2 linked regions of the Ovis aries genome follow. The protein of the gene in region 1 interacts with the protein of each later gene in a pairwise test. Links are inferred from orthologs where the notes say so. Each region holds a gene or a part of one and is shown on either strand. Other genes may lie near its edges.

Region 1 (3,751 bases):
ATGAACAGAGGAGCCTGGCGGGCTAAGGTCCACAGGGTCACAAAAAATTGGATACAACTAAAGTGACTTAGCATGCAAGCACATACTTACAATGAGGGCAGTTTTTTGGCTGGTGATTTATTTATGCTTGTCTTGTTAGCCAGCAAACTGTGTAATTTACTGTATCTCTTATTCTCAGGATCAGATTTACAGCCAGATAGAGTCTTACTTATAGGTAGGAATATGTTGAGTATTTTTCTAGAATTCCCTGATAACTAAAGGATGGTAGATTTACATAGTCTGAGAGCCTAAGTAGCTTGGAGGTTCTTTGTTTCAGTTAGTAACTTCCAGTCAGCATAAATAACTATCTTAAAATGTCTCATTGGAAATGCCTTAACCAATACCCTACCTCCTTAGGGGTTAAAGAGTTGTTTCCAGATTAGAAATGGTTATTATACTCTTGGTTCTTTTATAGGGCATTTTAAACCAAAAGAGCTCTTTCTTTTTTCCTTTAAGTTCCTTGGTAATATCACCAAAGAGGGTAAGTATCCCTCAGTTCTTGTACATTCCTATGTGCAGAGAGCCTCCTCTTTTATAATTTGTTCATAATGTAGTGGTATGCTCTGAACCTTGGAGTATTAAATTTAAGGGTCTTTTCATGCTTGCATTGTTAACTATATAGGGAAATGTCTTTTCATTTATGTGTTCTGTGCTCTTGTCGTAGGTGTCACGTGTACCTGAGGCGATCTCAGCAGCAGCAAGTACCTGTGGTGGATTTCCAGGCAGAACTGAGACAGGCATTCTTAGCTGAGACACCAAGAGGTGGTTAAAGCAGTATTGGAACACCAAGGTAGCTGATTTCAAGAGAAAAATAAAAACAGGTTATAGCTGATGAAATCATGATCAGGATTAAACAACTAATTAAAGGGTAGGATGTTTGGAGGTCATTTAATTATTTGGGATATATTCAATTTCTTTTCCTTAAAAGCATCATACAAATATAAACACATAGCAGAAAATTTTAAAAAGTAAAAGCAGTACCTTAATGCTCTCACCCTGAAAGACTTTTGTCATGAGTTACTTTCTAGACAATGTAGTCTTTGCTTTTTAGGTAGTTTTATTCATATTTAACTTGTACTGCTTTTCACCTTAACGTAAGAGAAGTATTTCATTATAAATAGTTGCTGAATATCCTCCTAATATGTTTTAGAATTCCTTTCTGTGAGAACTTTATCTTTTCTGCTGATAGTTTGAAATGAAGTTTCAGTGATTTGCTTTTTGCAAAACAGATAGGACCATTTCCTTGGATATGCAGATGTGAAAATAAATCAAGGAATTTGAAATTAAGGTTCATGTTCTAAATTATATTATGAATTATTAGTCTTCAGTTGCCATGAGAAAGTATAGTGCCAGGTACACTTTCATCTGCATTAATTTTGTCAATTACATATAATTTATTTCTATTAAATTAGAAATACACATCACATCCATTAGCAGATGAGAAGCTAAATATTTTCCCAGGCTTATTTACTACTTATTTCTTGTTTTCTTTCCTCATGTTTTGTTACCCATTTGTTTGAGTCATCTGACAATGTAACAAAACTATTATTAACTTATGATTTGTCAGTATTATGTAGATTTATTTACAGTGTCTTTTTGTGTTAATTGCTTAGATTTTTAGAAAATTGCAATTAATTTTGATTAAATACTCTATTTTTCCTTTCTTAAGTTTAAGATTTGAATGACCTAAGTTCAAAGGGTTTAGTATGTACTTTTCAGAAACTAAGGAAAGAAGTTTATAGATGAGTTTTCTTCTAGATTTTCTTTATTTCTATTTCAGAGTATAACCCTGCAACTCAAATTAATTAGGCTTATGGCCATCATTTCAAACGGAAAAATCCTCCCCTACTGAATACTTTACCCAGCATTCTCCAGTAATTGCCTGGACTTGATTGCAAGACAGTAGAATTGATTTCAGGCAGTGGAATCTGATAATTGTCCTCAGCTGTCCCCCAGAGTAAGAACGTTTTTACATGAATAAGTGTGCATAATTGATTTTTTAACCAAGAATTTTTTGGCCCTTTAGTATAGTTTAGATACTCTTGCAAGTTCCTGTATAGTATTATTTAAATCATAATTATGATCTACAAGTAGAGTAATCTAATTTTCTAAGTTTTAAGTGCTAGTTTCATCTAAATAGTACTAGTTACTAGAATTATTTTACAGCAAGATTGATAAAGTATCTGACTCATTTATTGCCTGTTTTTATAAATAAAATTTTGTTAGCACAGAGCCATATCCATTTATTTACATAAGGCCTGTGGATATTATTGACAGTACAGTGGCAGGTGGGAGCATTCATGACAGATTGAATGCCAGGCAAGACCTACAATATTTATTGTCTTTCCTTTTAAAAGAAAAAGTCTGCTAGTCTCTTAGAGAACCACTTTCAAAGATGAAAACATAAGGTGGAGCCAGTAGGGGAGTGTTGGTGCTATAGAATGTGGTAAAGGGAAAGGTATTACAAGGAGAGTAGATGAAGTAAACATTACAGAGTAGAGAATCAGATGAATTTGGTGACAAGGGTCTTGTTAAAGTCTGCTGTACGTGTAAATGGGTAAAGACATTTAAACAATTGATATGTTTTCTTTTTCATTATAAAAATGTAAAGCATATGAGTGATAGCCAAGAAAAATGGGAAAGTAAACCACAGATTTTAAATAGCCATGTTTCAACCATAGTGGCATTTTTTTTCTTTCATTTTACCCATTTGCTTTTCTTTTGAAAACATAGTTGTAATCATGTTTTTAAACTATTCTATTTATGTATATCATTAATGTTCCTTCATTTTATTACATAATCCTCAATATGATTTGTAATGAATAAATGATGGTCCCTTCATGATTTACTTTTTCTTTGTACTTGTGTTTCTTTCCCCCTAGTTTGCTATGCTGTTACGAATATTCTGCATTTTTAAGATAGTGTATATTAGGTATTTTAAATTTATTAGGATGAGGATTCAGTTTGGGTATGCAACGTATAAAAATTAGTAATTTATAAAATGTTTTGTTATGTTGCTTTCTAATAACACAATAAGCAGTATTGATTACCATCAAGAATAATTCAGTTCAGTTGCTCAGTCACGTCTTGATACTTTGCGACCCCGTGGATTGCAGCACACTAGGCTTACCTGTCCGTCACTAACTTCCGGAGTCCACTCAAACTCATGATTATTAGAGTCAGTAATGCCATCCAGCCATCTCATCCTCTGTCGTCCCCGTCTCCTCCTGCCTTCAATCTTTCCCAGCATCAGGGTCTTTTCTAATAAGTCAGTTCTTCGCATCAGGTGGCCAAAGTATTGGAGTTTCAGCTTCAGTGTCAGTCCTTCCACTGAATATTCAGGACTGATTTCCTTTAGGATTGACTGGTGGATCTCCTTGCAGTCCAAGGGACTCTCAAGAGTCTTTTCCAACACCACAGTTCAAAAGTTCAAGAATAATTACTACAGTGATAATTTCTTAGTACCACCTTTGATGTCTCTTTTTTCCCCTTTGATAAACACTTTCCAAAATGGAAAAATTGTTTTCCTCTGGTTTAAGTGGCATTGCTTTGTGGATTAATAGTTTCCACTTACTTGTGTTTCTCACATTAGACTTTTGTGCATTTTTTTTTTTCAGTGAAGGGTCTATTTTACCAGGTGAACGGGAACTAATACTATACCATTGTTCTGTGACTTCTCATTTTTTGTATGTTATTTGGCCAAGTCTGACCA
Region 2 (2,595 bases), on another chromosome or scaffold:
CTACCAGCGCCGCACACCCCGTCTCTGCGTCAGCAGCCGCCGCTGTGCCAGTACACGCCGAGCGCTCTGACGAACACACAGGACCCTGCCCCCCGGGTCAGCGCAGCACTGCTTAGGAAGCCAGGGCTGCAGGAGCCACGGGGCTCTGAGTGACCTTCTCGTATTAGATTACTTCTGCTAGGTGCTGAGTCACTGGGGCTTGCAGGCTGTAAGCTCTGGGTCTTGGTTTCTTTCCCCACAGGCAGGACCTGTGTGTCCCGTTGTTTAAGCTGAGCTGACAGTGCTCCTGAAGAGGCTGCCGCGTGCATGACTGTGTGCCAACAAGGGAACCTGTGCGCCCTCGGAGCCCCTCCAAGCGCTTAGCCAGTGCCGGCTGGGACGGCGGCCCCCGTGCTCATCAATAACTGTGCTACTTCAAACTGGCGCTTCCCCAGCACACCTCCCAGGGTGTCAAAGCTTAAGCTGCGGCCCAAGCAAACACAGCAAAAAAACTACAAAAGGAACAGAGTCCTCAGATTCTCAAAAAGAAAAAGCCACCATATTTATTTAGTTTAACATCTTACCCACATCTAAAGAAAATGATGTCAACAGATAACCTAGGACATATACATAGGCACGCACCCCGACCCAGATAACCTAAAACAAAAAAAAAAAAAGCAAAGTTCTGTCCAACAGATAAAATCTATCTTCGCTTCTGGAAGATGTTTCCACGTCCCATTCCACGTCCTCTCCCTCTTGCGGCCACTGAAAGGTAGGGGAGAGAAAAGACGAGGCAGGTCGGTGCGGACCCTCACCACCGAGGAGCCAGTCCAGCAGCAGGCCCGCCCGCCACACCTCACGGGGAAAGCGCCCCCAGGAGGGGCGGGTGGCCAGGCAGAGCTGGAGAGGACACCCTGAACCTGTCTCCTGGCCCAGCACTGCCCCACCAGAAGCTGGGGGCAGGGCCTCGCAGGGACGGTGGTTTGGGGGGCCCGCCTGGGAACCAGAGAAAAGATGAATTCTCAGAGCTGCCCCAGGGTGAGCAAGCAAAACACTACAGATGCATTTAATTCACACGTAAAATTCCGAAACAGATGTCAAGTGTTAACGTCTATTAAATCTGGGTGAGGATTCTTGTTCTCTGAGCTGTTCTGCACGTGGAATGTTTCTGAATGGGGGCCGGGGAACCACAGGTGAAAACCCCAAACCACCCCTCGATGAAGACCGCTGTTCTGACTCAGGTCCGAAGAGGGGACCAGTGGCTTTGAAGAAGGGAAGATACCCTGCCGGCCTCTGGACTCTCCTCTCAGAGCCTGGAGCTGACCCAGGAGGGAAGGCAGGCCGTGAGAACCTGGGGGCACCGCCTCCTAGAGCCCCGACAGAGACGGGAGGGCGGCCCCGAGGAAGCGGAGCAGCAGCTGCAGCTCAGCCTCCGTACCTTCCCCTGGACGGAGGGCCAGGGCTCCAGTCCCCGCCGGGAGGGGCGAGGAGGCTCCCTGACCGGCTCTCCTGGAGGGCATCTGCAAGGCCCCTCGGAGCTCCAAGGCCACCTGAAGTGGGACAGGCCTGCTGCAGTTACAGGCCTGAGGGGCATCCGGGGACCTTCTGGCTCTGTATCGATAGATACTCAGACTGCTCCTAACGACTCACTCGTTTCCTAGCTGATCAACACGGCAGAACTCTTCAGGACCCTGACCCTGAACACTGAGTGGGCTAACCCAGGGAAAACGATCAGGCCGCATCACTGGGAAGACCACGTCCCACTTCTGGAACGTAGCAAAGGAAAATCGCATTCAGCCTCCTTTAACGGGTAAAAGATGGCCCCAGACGGCTGACTTCCCATCTGAGAGTGCCCCTCCCCACACCACCTCTCTCGCTCACGCTGGGCATCAGGAGACACCCCAGCCACACAGGGCCCACCCCCCCAGCCCTTCAGGGCCGCGCCTCTGCTCAGCGAGCAGCGCGGGGCAGGCTCCCCGCAGTCACCACAGCGGACTCATCCGCTCTCATCTGAGCCCGTCTTTCCTTAAGGAGCAGCTGTGGATCTTGTGCGCGTCCTGAGTGGGGGCGAGTGAGGCAAGACCGAGAAGGTGGGGTCTGGGGGTCCCCAGGACTGCGGGGCAGCGGTGTGGAGCTGGCTGCCCAGCCACAGGGCCTCCCTAGCAGGCCCCGGCTCGTCTGCCCGGCGCAGCCCCGCGCCCGCAGCACCTACCCTGGGCCTTCAGGATGGCCGCCTTGCCCCGGCCGGCACCCGAGCCCTGGTTCTTGTTCTTCATGCTCTTCAACATGGGTGCGTTCTTCAGCATGTCGGGCAGAATCAGGAAGCGGATCTTGCTGCCCCGGATGTACACCTGCTCCAGCTGGGCCACGCGGCCGTCTCTGTACGTGACCGTGATGTTGGACATCTGTAAGGGAACCGCCCTCGTCAGTAAGGTCACGGGCACCGGCAGAGAGCAGGGGGCAGGGGGCATGAAGGCAAGCGCTGGCTGGAGCGGGGGAGACCAGAAACGCAGATGCGTACGTCACAAGATGAAGCCGGGGACTCCAGAGGGCCTGCGGTGTGTACCGGAGCGGGGCTGCGCCTCGCGCCTCGCAGTACGCGGGTTCCCACTTCAA

What was found.
Region 2: the proteins of SNRPN (region 1) and SNRPD3 interact in a two-hybrid assay, tested with the Homo sapiens proteins (2 studies listed by BioGRID, with this or other methods). The link is inferred for Ovis aries from reciprocal best matches to the Homo sapiens genes SNRPN and SNRPD3.

The regions. Positions count from the first base shown.
Region 1 is NC_056071.1:1,223,123-1,226,873, forward strand, and holds the start of SNRPN (small nuclear ribonucleoprotein-associated protein N), read left to right. Parts: upstream 1-809; 5' UTR 810-829; exon of another isoform or gene 830-3,751. Other genes in the region: SNURF (SNRPN upstream reading frame protein), read left to right, coding at 704-809.
Region 2 is NC_056070.1:71,542,477-71,545,071, forward strand, and holds the end of SNRPD3 (small nuclear ribonucleoprotein Sm D3), read right to left. Parts: intron 2,385-2,595; coding exon 2,192-2,384; intron 745-2,191; coding exon 683-744; 3' UTR 512-682; downstream 1-511. UniProt on the Homo sapiens protein: Plays a role in pre-mRNA splicing as a core component of the spliceosomal U1, U2, U4 and U5 small nuclear ribonucleoproteins (snRNPs), the building blocks of the spliceosome.